Linked DNA regions of Drosophila melanogaster. The protein of the gene in region 1 interacts with the protein of each later gene in a pairwise test. Each region holds a gene or a part of one and is shown on either strand. Other genes may lie near its edges.

Region 1 (7,570 bases):
AGGGAGCCGATGTAGATTTCGTTGCCGGTGTGGTATGCCAATCCTCCGATGCCTTTGCCTTCCCCGGACTTCTGCAACTGACGCCCGGTGTGAAGATAGACGAGGGCGTGGACCAATTGGGCCAGCAGTACCAGAGTCCGGAGCATGTGGTCAAGGAGCGGGGTGCCGACATCGGAGTGGTGGGCAGGGGCATTCTGAAGGCCAGCAGCCCGAAGCAGGCGGCTCAGACGTACCGCGACCGCCTGTGGGCAGCCTACCAGGATCGAGTTGCCAAGTAGAAAACCCAAACAGCATTCCCCCTTAACGAATATTCCCCAATACCCATTCCCCCTTGGTTTCGGTTACCCTAGATAAGTGAAAAAATCTTCCAATTATTTACCGCGATTTTACAGTGCATTTATGAATTGAACATAGGCTATGAATCTTCCGCAAAACAGTTGGCAAACGATGCTTGCCTTAAAGTAAGAGTTACAACAAATAGAATGGTTAACAATCGATCCAACGAGGAAATCCTTAGTAGGAGGCCAGGCACTGCAAGACGTAGCTGTAGTCTCCGGAGAGGTCGTCCTGGAAAGGAGATCAGTGGATGGTGAATGTGACCCAGCTTTGCCGTTGAGTGTAAGCCAACTTTATTAGTTAATACAAGCACAAACTACGCATACGACTTTGATGCGCCATAATTTACAATAAAAAAAGACATGTATACAAAATAAAAATACGTAAAAATGTTAAATAATCGTTGAACGTTAGACGTTATTGCACAGAGGGAAAATACTAAGCGTTTTGTAGATTGGATTTTTAGAACACATCACAACTACTGTATATAGACCAACTCCATTTGTTCTTCGCTTTTGTTATACTTTTTTTTGGGGAAATGCAACGTTTTTTTGTTTTTGGCATTTTCTACTTGAACAGTGGGGTATTGCTCATAGATATTCGGATATTCCGGCTGCTTCCGTCTACCAAGCCGTAAGAGTGACCAGGACGTATCCAATATCGGTCTCGGCATCCTCCTGTTGTTGGTTCGTTTAAACGGGTAGAGAAAAGCGTGAAAAGAGCAGAGGGTCAGAGCATTAAACGCCTTTTACTTTGTATACATGGCTTATGGTTTGGTTAATTGCCGGAAGCTACTCCTCCAAGGGGTAATCAACTATATATCTACCTGATCAGCAAATGAATGTCTTTCAAATTTAACATAACATTTAAAGTTTTACATCTTGAAATTGTATGTACATTATATTTACATGTAATTGACATGTACTTTTAGCAAGCAGTGCAAGTATATTTAGATCTAAATTGAACTATATTTAACAGTTTGTATACCTTATACACTTGCTGATCTAGTTTATATAGACAATTAAAGAGGGCTAATATACTCATTTAGCCCCATTTAAATCGATTTTTAAGTTGGTTTAATCCACGCCCTTTTTAATGTTTAATGTTTTGATGTTAGGCGACCCAATGTAGCGCTGTTATTTACATGACAAGCAGTGCAGAGACCTCTGCTAAAGGTAACAGAAACTCGATTTGAATTTTGTATTTCATTTTTTCGTATTTTTTATTTTCGTATTTTTTAAAAGTTAAAATATCTTGCAAATGAGACTCAAAACAAAACTGAAAGTATACCTACACAGCAATGCAAGTAGCCTGAGGTGTAGTAATTATAGAGATACAATTATGTGCATGTGGCGTGCATAGTCATAATAATAAAAGTCACAATGGTTATAATAATCAACAGGATGCGAGACTGGGGTTCTGATTCTACGACTTAAATGCACTGCGTCTTCGTTAAAACGTGTTCCAATTCAAAAACTATACATTGTCAACTATTTGATATCGGAATTTTGTTTGTACATTCTGTTTGCATATAGTTTAGAGCGTGGAACAGACGAAAGAGATAAATTATTGTTGGATGGGGTTCTTTTTAGAAGCCAACAATAGCCAATAGGGCACGCTTATAATCGCCGGATGTATCGCCCTAAAAATATAGAATATGCCAAGTTTTAATGTTTTATGCACACAAATGAAGCAATCGGGCGGGAAGGGATAATGGCTTCAGAAATCGGCAAGAAAGTGTTGGGCAAAGGAGCAGTAACAACAACAGGAGAAGCCAGCTTGGATGAACGATTATTAAACTTTGATGGAGCCACAATTAATGGGATTTGTTGCAGGTGCAATCGAATGCGAGTTAGTGGCACATTGAACAGGGTGCAGAATCGAAAGTTCTGGCAAGCACACGCAGATATGAATGTAATTGAAATCGGTATTTACCTTGATCCAGGACTCCAAGCTCTTGCCGTACTTGTTCTGGAATGCCTCCTTGATGTCACCCAGATCGATCTCCGACCGGCTGACAATGATGCGGATCAGCGTCTTGTCCTTGGTGCCCATGCCGGCCATTGAGTCGTGCAGGCGCTCCGAAAAGTAGTCGATCTTGGACTTGCAGCACTTGACTGCAGAGCAATGCATCAGTTAGAAGGGACCCTAAAGAATAGGATGCTATAAGAACGTACCGATGGCCAGGAAACCCTTCTCCACGGAGCCGCTAAACTCCCGCTTGATGGCCTTCTCGATGTCGTTGCCCGACAGATTCTCGTATTCGAGGAAGATCTGGCGCAGCTGCTGGTAGGAGCGGGTGATCAGGATCGAGTTGAAGGTGGACTCATCTGTGCCCCACTGTCCCTCGCCGGCGTCGTGCAGAGCCTGGGCATCGGCGATGGCCGCGGCCTCGTCCACGCCCTGGTTCTCATCCCGGTTGCCCTGGACGAGCGAGACACACAGCCGCTTGAAGTGGCCACTGGTGTCGCCCTTCAGGTCGGACTCTAGGGACTTGCCGAAGCTCTGCTCGTAGAACTGGGCAATGGTCTTGATGCCGTAGTTGGACAGCGTGCAGAGGATCTCGATGATGGCCTCCTCGTCGGTTCCCAGTCCCGAGATGGCGTCGTGCAGCTCCTGGGCATAGAACTGGGGCAGCGGCGTCATCAGAGCCAGGATAACATCCTCGAATTTGCCGCCCAGTTCGGACTTGAGGTCCGAGATCAGGTCCTTGCCGTACGAGGTCTTGAACGCCTCAGCGATCTCCAAACGCTGGACGATGCCACGCCTGGCCAGGATCTCGATGATGGCCTTCTCGTCGGTGCCGAAGCCTTTCATCGCCTTGCGCAGAATAGCCGCATCCTCGACGGGATCGAAGGGATCCGCCGGGTAGACAGTGGGTGTGCACTGCAAATCGAATATAGGCAATCAGCAAATGAGTAACAACAAAGAAGAATTGGGTGTATTTTAATGCAGGGCACGTAATCCCAAAGAAATGACTCAACACTACTCAGTGGCACTTGTTCTAAATACAAATACATATGTGGTTATTCCCTACATGTATTATCTCAGTATTGCATGAATTCCTCTGCAATAAAGTTAGCTTTCTAAATTGACTTTTTTTTTCGTTGTGACTCTTATCTAAGGAACTCATAACTGAAACCCTCTTATCACTCTCTTCTCCCACCAATCGGTACTTGTTTGTCAACGATTGTCTAGTATACACCTCTGATGATAATTTAATAGCCCAATTATAGATAATTTCGTAGCATCTGGTCGTTGTAATAATTTATAGATTGCATCGAGAAAAATCTTGCTTACTTGACAACAACACACGTTTTAGAAAAAATAATATTAAGATATTCTCATCTATCTGTTGAATCTAATTTGATCTGATTTTTTACATTAACGGCGCTAATCGCATGAAATAATTGATTTATACCAGACTCATAAAGTACAATCCATTGTAAACTCACCTTGAATGGGTAGTACTCAGCGGAACTCATTTTGATTGGTTTGTTGTGAAAAATCTGTAAGTAGGAAGTGAGAAATCATAATGAATAATGGCTACGCCGAAATCGTGATGAAAACTGAACCCCCAGCAATGTTGGATACGTTATGTTTCCCAGACCCAATAAGCCCGGCCTTCGGTTAATTCCTGCCTGGTGACATCATCAACTCGTAAAAGCCTCACATTACGCATACGCCCCGTAGCCAGCCTGGCGCTGGTCTGAGAGCATTTTTACCCATTGATTTTTTTTCCTAGTTTATTTACCGAGATGTTTTTTTTTTTAGTTTTCCTTGCCGACCGGTGCCCAAATCGAAGTTCAACGTACTGCCGGGGAAAAGTGAAAGTTTCCACTTTTCAGTACGCAGTTTGCGGAGGAACGAACCTTGGAACCGGGTGCGTCTGATAGCCAAATGGCATGGCGCGGCAGTTTCGTGATAGGCCAGACCAAACCCACACGAAGTGGCCTCATAAACGGATGAGCTCATTGCGTTCTGGCTTGGAAAACATCGGGCACGGCTTGGTTGTGGCCAAGAGAAAGCTTCAGGGAAATGTCTGACTCGTCACCCGTTTGCGTTCTAGATCTACCACTCCACTTCAGTTGTCAAGTGGAACACTATCTCGAGGGACTAGTCCACATAATCCCTAAAATCAATAGGGCCAAATTACCTAATGATAAATGGATTGAGATTTTTGATAGCTTCCCCAAATTAGTAATCACAGTGCGACAGTGCTGAAAATACATGTTTGCCTTTCTATGCTGCCGCCAAAGTAGAAAGTCAACAAAAGGCAGCCGAAAAAAGCATTATAAAAGACTTGACGTGGCGACGCCATCCAAAAAAACAAAAAAGTTAACAAAAAGATACAACTACAAACGCCTCTGCAGTCGAGCTATAAACAAACAAAATGTTTTGGCCAACGTTGAAACCGGTTCTTTTACGTATGGCGTACAATTAAACTCAAGATTCTAGTGTTTATAGACTACTTTAGTTAATATATGATTTCTTTTTAAATAAATTATAATGCAAGTTGAGAATAATGTAATCAATAATAATTGGTTAGACTCTCTAAATATTGATTGGAGTTCTCCGTAATAGTTTGACCTCAATGTAGAAAACACATTTGTGTTTGAAAACACCCTTAATTACAATTCTTTTGTTTCATTATAAAAAGTGGTTGGGGTCTGGAAAAAACAAGATTGATAGATATGCTTTAGCATAGCGTATCTGGTAATGTTGTTCTTGAAATAGACTGATGATACATTGAAATTACAGCACTCAGTGATTCACCAGATTTGTGACGTCAATTTTAAGCTCTGAGCACGACTTTAAAAAAGAGATATTATAATATAGGTGTAAAAACTGGAATAGCTCGTGACCATGTGTGAAAAACTCCATAAACAAAAGCTTTTGCCAACTTCTTTTGGAGACCTCGATGGACTGTACCTCGAAATGTTTCAAAAATGTTTTGCAAATGCACTGAGCAATTCACTTAGTAATAAACCTTGATGACACACCTATTCTACTATAATTGCACGGCCTCGAGTACACTACTACTATATTTTGTGGACGGTGGAATGTGGCCACATCCGATTCCGGTGAGTAATGCTGAGCAAGGCACAGGCGCTCATACACAGTGCTTACTGTAGTTTGAAGTGCCTGTCGGGCAATTGAAGTTGATTGAATTACTAAATTAAGCAGGGCACTGGGGGATAGAGATATTTCGAAAAATTCCGCTTCTCATTCCTACGTAAAATGGGAAAGCAAGAAAGGAACAGAAAAGTTTACTTAGATTTCGTCGGAGATGAGAAAAGTCACACGCGTCGCGAGAGAAAACGCCAAAAGAGTGGGGCTTTTGCTTTTGAGTTTGATGATGTCATCTTTCGGTTTTGAATTTTTCTCCCACCCGAGGCTTTTATTATTGAAATATAAAGTAAATAGAGAAACAAGATTCTGGAGAATTCTCGCGATACCGCACCCACAACTAGAATTCTACAAAATGCCCATTTTGGAATGGCACAAATGAAAATTATCTTTGAGTGTTTAGCACACACTTTCTTTTCTCACTTTTCCGACTGATTTTCCGCTTGATTTTTTGCGATTTCTGGCACAGCGAGAGTAAACAATGAGTTTTATCTACAAATTCCTTTTGATTTACCAATGATATTCGATTTTCAACGTACAAGTCAGACGATGCGAACTGCAAGCGATGTGAATAAATACCATAGCTGTTTGCGCTCCGTCTTTGGCTTTTATACTCGCGCTCTCTCGCTGGAAGTCGATTAGAGATGAACCAACCGGCGATAGGTTGTTGTTGCTAGGAAATATTCGGTGGTAGCGCCTAACTGGAAGCTGGTATCTTCTGCGTCGTCATAGTATACACCGTAGAATCTAAAGTGTTCCGAGATGGATGAATCATCGGCATTGGAAGCTGTTGAGACATTCATGATATTTCCGTTGTGATAATGACGACATTGGGAAAATAAGATCTGATTACGCATTGAATTTCAAAATGTAACCTTTGACTTCAATATTCAGCCGTTAGGGCAATACAGTTAAATAAATATCCTGTTCCTTCCTAAGCCGTTTTATAACTATTTTTATTTGTATTTTTATAACTATATATAAAAACCAATTACGTTAATTGTCAGCCGACATCGAAGCAAATTCAAATCCAAAACTATCGATATATCGATGATATGTTTGCGGTTATATGAAAAAAGTCAACTCTTATACCTGTTAATTACCGTTCTGGCAGAATCTTATTAATTATACAAATTACTATGGCGCCACTTGGTATAACATCAAATACCTTTTGCCCGAGCACTCAGTTCTATTGATCACGATCACATATATTGGTACTGCAGTATATATCGGTGCATTGACTTATCGAATAAAGTAAAAGAACCACGACTGTATCTCTTAATCATTTAAATTGGGCGCCCCTAAAACTGCAGCAACTACCTTTTGTCAAGCTCATCACAATAATTTATCGGCTTTTCGTAGCATATCGATGCATCCATTGTATCGAATGAAATTTAGTTCAGTTAGTTTCCCGTTTGTTGGTCTCTTTATGAATCAATTGTTTAACCCTTCTCCTCCCAGAAATTTGCAGACATCCCTAGCGGCATCAGATCATAAGTTCCTCTTGCAGTAGGAGTTAGTCATCGGGATGTGAGTATACATATGAACATAGAGCGCCAGTGGCATCTTGTTCCCGATCCGGCTTTGTCGGCCCCTCCCTTCTTCGGTGTTTTGTGACTTGTTATCTGGGCCACGAATCGGAAGCGGAGCCCCTGCAACTGAAAACCTGCCCCGACTACTCACACTCGTCATGGTGTTTATCTATCTACCCAGCAGATAAGGATAAGCGAGTAACCAGCGACCAGAAACCGGTAAAAAGAATGTGGAAGGCAAGTGCCGGTCACCAGATTCAGGCCACCAGTGCAGCCTCCGCGGAGGACGACGACTGGGAGACGGATCCGGACTTCGTGAACGATGTCAGTGAGCAGGAGCAGCGCTGGGGATCAAAGACGATCGACGGCAGCGGTCGCACAGCAGGCACCATCGAGTGAGTCATCCGAAATTCTCGAAACACTGGGTATCGGGTTCATTGTTCCCTTTCTTTATTCTTTTTAGCATGGACAAGCTGCGCGAGGAGACGGAGCAGGCCGATCTGGACAAGAAGAAGCAGCTGCTGAAGGATCAGAACGCAGGATACGGATACGGGGGCAAGTTTGGCGTTGAG
Region 2 (3,921 bases), on another chromosome or scaffold:
AAAATTTAGAGATTTTCGGTTTAAATTACCAGGCGAACAGGAATTCCAGGAGGCGACCAACGATTAGTTGGTTTTCAGTAGACACCCGCTACTGAGTATGTTGGCCTGGTACCAAAAATCCAAAATTTGCCACTAAAATGCTAATTTTGTAAGCAAAATTAACAGATTTTCGGCTTAAATTACCAGGCGAACAGGAATTCCAGGAGGCGACCAACGATTAGTTGGTTTTCAGTAGACACCCGCTACTGAGTATGTTGGCCTGGTACCAAAAATCCAAAATTTGCCACTAAAATGCTAATTTTGTAAGCAAAATTAACAGATTTTCGGCTTAAATTACCAGGCGAACAGGAATTCCAGGAGGCGACCAACGATTAGTTGGTTTTCAGTAGACACCCGCTACTGAGTATGTTGGCCTGGTACCAAAAATCCCAAAATTTGCCACAAAAATGCTAATTTTGTAAGCAAAATTAACAGATTTTCGGTTTAAATTACCAGGCGAACAGGAGTTCCAGGAGGCGACCAACGAGAACAGAAATTCCAGGAGATAATTATTTTCGATAATTTATTGAAATTCATTCCTTAGGGCTATGAAAAAAATTCACTTATAAGTTAAACATTAATAGCTAGCTGGGACTTCTACAACTATAGATGATTCCATTGATAGTTAACTGGTGGGATTGCGAGATGCACTACAGCTAATACATTTTCCAAATATAACGTATACTCCAAGGACTTAAAGTACTTAAATGCGAGCGTGTAAAAAAAAAAGAAAGTTGAGCCCCCTAAACTATTCACAGATAAGCTGACCCAAAAACTGGACATACGATTCGGATCCTCGCGTTCAACGCATCAAGAGAGGAGTGGACCTTTAGGCGGTGGTTACTTTGGCGGAGGTGAAGGCGGCCAGCTGGACCTTGAGGGCGTCGATCTGGCACAAGAGCTCGATGTTCTGGCGTTCCAGATAGGCGGCCCTGATGGCGATCTCATCCTCCTTGATGCGGCGGCGATCGCGGGACTTCTTGGCGGCAGCATTGTTCTTGCGACGCCTCTCGTAGTATGCGGCATCCTTAACCTGGCTGCCCGAGCTGATGCCCGAGTTTGCTGCAGTAGCGTTAGCCAAGTTGCTGGAGCTGCTGGTGGCGGACTTGCTCTCGAAGTTGCCCGCCTGGGAGTCACAGTCGCTTGACTCCTCCGCAGCAGCGCGATCCTCGCTTTCGCTGTTGTTGTTTGAGGAGCTGCCTTCGTTGACGGATCCACTTCTTGAGTTGGTCCTTCGCATTTTTGGGTTGGTTACGGTGCGCGATCCTCCGTTGGAGCTGCGGATTTGCTCAAGCACTCGCTTCCGGTATTCCGTGTAGCGCTCCACTCGCGGATTGTCCAAAAGGACATCAGTGGCTGCGAAATTGGCAGCTATGACCAAGGGATCCCGGGGAAAGGCCTTGAAGGGACGGGTGTTCTTTCCCGCCTCGCCGCTGCTGGAGGTGGTTGGCGTGGTGGCCTCAACAGCCGGTGACAGGGGATTCTCCAGAACGTCTATCTGCATGGTGCTGGCGTTGCTGGCGGGTCTTGGTGAGTTGGTCGAAGAAGCGGCAGCAGCAGCGGCGGCCGCAGCAGAGGCGGCAGCAAAGGTTTGCAGAAGGTTAGCGGTTGGTGTAACCTTGGGCGGAGCAGCAGTGGGCGTGGCTTGCTCCTGCTTGATGTTGCTGTAGTAAAAAGCGGGATACAGGGAGGCTAATTGTTGCTGCTGCTGCTGTTGCTGTTGTTGCTGCTGATGTTGCTGCTGTTGCATTTGGGCGGCATACAGAAGATTGCTGGTGGGCGAAGCCGAGGGGGAACCACTGCCGTAGCTATAGCTTGTTTGATACGGCGAGGGAGTCTTCCTGGGTGTCTCTACGCTGTCACATCGACGGGAAAGATCCAGGACCTCTGCAGAGGAGGTATGCTGCTGCTGCAGCTGCTGATGTTGCTGCTGCTGCTGTTGCTGTTGTTGCTGCTGACTGAGGGCAGCTCCCAGCAACTGCTGCTGGTAGGCGTAGGCCGTGTACAGATCCATTTTGGGTAGGCCCAAGGATCCCTGAACCGGCAATTGGCTGTGCGGCAAGTGGTGCAGTGGTTGCTGCTGGTGGTGCTGGTACTGGTGGTGGTGCATCAGGGGCTTGCGATCTGCAAAGATTGAGAGAGAGAGGGGATTTGTTAGTTTACGGATCGAGGAGAAACCAAGGGGCGTGGCCAACTTACCAGTCTTGAGATCGAAGAACTGCCCGGCCATGAGTTTCTCGTGCATTAGCATGGTGTTCGGTGTATGGTCTCTGGGTTTAATCCAACTGATTGACGCTATATAGACTGGTGATCTAGCTCTGATGTTGCTATATCTTCACGCTGACGATGTCGAACGCAAACTGATTTCCTCTCGTCGGAACCCCCTGCATTTATACCGAAAATCCGGAGGCTGCGCCGACGCCTCATTCACATCGAAATGGCGGACACGAGCGGCCAGCCGAAGCGGTACGAAGCAGGTAGGCGGTACAAAGGCCAAAGGGCAAAGGGGTGATTCTGGCTTTGCTTCTGACTCTGTCCCGCTCTGGCCTGTTGCCCTCTCTGTCTCACCGCTTTCGAAAGGGTTTTACAAGGGTGCGGCTGCCCTTTCCCTCATTTGGTTTTCGCAGTTTTCGCAAAAATCATAGTTCTTTGTGCTATTGTTAGTTCGCCATTTAACGTAATTTTAAAAAGAAAGTACAAAGAGTTTTCGAACTTTACGTTTCATCAGTTTCCGCGAAAGGATATGGTTTTTTCTTGGTTTTAATATTCAATGGGAAAAAATAGGAAAATTCGTACCACCTCTGCAGTGCTTTACATTTCGTTTTCATGGAATTGGTTAAAAATATTCATAATCAATATAGAGTTATAAACTTCGGCTCTATTTTCATAGGCGTTCATTGCGATGTTATAAGTCCAAGTTTGAGGAAACCCCAGATTTTTGTATATACCAGCATTGTGCATTTGATTTTTTATTACAATTGTACCTAACTTACTTGCTTTGACATCCAACTGATAAAACCCTTACCCAAAAACCAATCTTAAAAATCTTAAGTTATTAAACCTTTAGATTTAAGTAACTGCTGTATATATTGCTTTCAAATATAAAGAATAAACCGCAATTAAACATCGTAGGCTATTCTCTTCAGCACTGAAATAAACCATACTTCTGAATCTTCTAGAACATTTCGCATATCAAAGACCCCCCGACCGTAGACTATTATAATTACACTCAAATCATACTTTTCTGGCCAGAAAGAGAGGCATCTGGCAGAAGAAAAGAGATGGAATCTAGTTTGTTGATAATAGATGCACAACATCCAAGGGTTGTGATGGCTAAATCCGTTTGTTTTGCGCTTTTGTTTCGAAATCCTTTTGCTGACCAGCCCATCTAGAATCTGTGTATCCATGCGATGGCGAATTCGTTGGATTGTGCGTGACAAATTATGGAAATTAGGACGAGTTCTGGCGTTCTTGCAATTTTCAGCCCTTTTCGGCTGGCGTAATTCGCATCCTTTTCTTATTTCGGCAATGAAAACTCGGCTTCCCGGAATTTTGGCAAGGACACTCGCCAGTCTGCCCATTTGATTCATGACGCCGCCAGCCCGAGGATCGAGAATCGAGAGTCCAGGATCATTGCGACAAGTGGCCGTCCGTGTTGACTGCTCGTGTTTGCCCTCCTCCTTAAACATCCTTGATTCTACGTCCTTTATCCCTTTGGCTTCCGCTGCGGCGTGGGATGTGGGATCCTCGACAAGTTGTTTCACTTTGTTAACTGTTTGTCCTAACGGTCGCCTCGACAGCCAACGGAAGTGGGTAGCGGTACAAAGTTGGCTATCATCCATGGGAAATGTTATGCTAGATACTTACTGCAGCTAATTCGAG

Evidence for each region. Proteins that work in one complex are often made in the same cells at the same time.
Region 2: the proteins of AnxB9 (region 1) and gt interact in a two-hybrid assay, tested with the Drosophila melanogaster proteins (one large-scale study listed by BioGRID).

What each region holds. Positions count from the first base shown.
Region 1 is NT_033777.3:21,063,721-21,071,290, reverse strand, and holds AnxB9 (annexin B9), read right to left. Parts: upstream 6,051-7,570; 5' UTR 5,890-6,050; intron 5,409-5,889; exon of another isoform or gene 5,340-5,408; intron 3,846-5,339; 5' UTR 3,822-3,845; coding exon 3,792-3,821; intron 3,223-3,791; coding exon 2,514-3,222; intron 2,454-2,513; coding exon 2,272-2,453; intron 1,979-2,271; coding exon of another isoform or gene 1,925-1,978; exon of another isoform or gene 1,537-1,924; intron 1,014-1,536; coding exon of another isoform or gene 960-1,013; exon of another isoform or gene 752-959; intron 735-751; exon of another isoform or gene 568-734; coding exon 514-567; 3' UTR 374-513; downstream 1-373. Other genes in the region: r-l (rudimentary-like), read left to right, coding at 1-278; cortactin, read left to right, coding at 7,227-7,393, 7,462-7,570.
Region 2 is NC_004354.4:2,426,563-2,430,483, forward strand, and holds gt (giant), read right to left. Parts: upstream 2,406-3,921; 5' UTR 2,291-2,405; coding exon 2,239-2,290; intron 2,164-2,238; coding exon 869-2,163; 3' UTR 551-868; downstream 1-550. UniProt on the Drosophila melanogaster protein: Represses the expression of both the krueppel and knirps segmentation gap genes. Binds, in vitro, to the krueppel regulatory elements CD1 and CD2. It is required in the early embryo for the development of portions of the head and abdomen.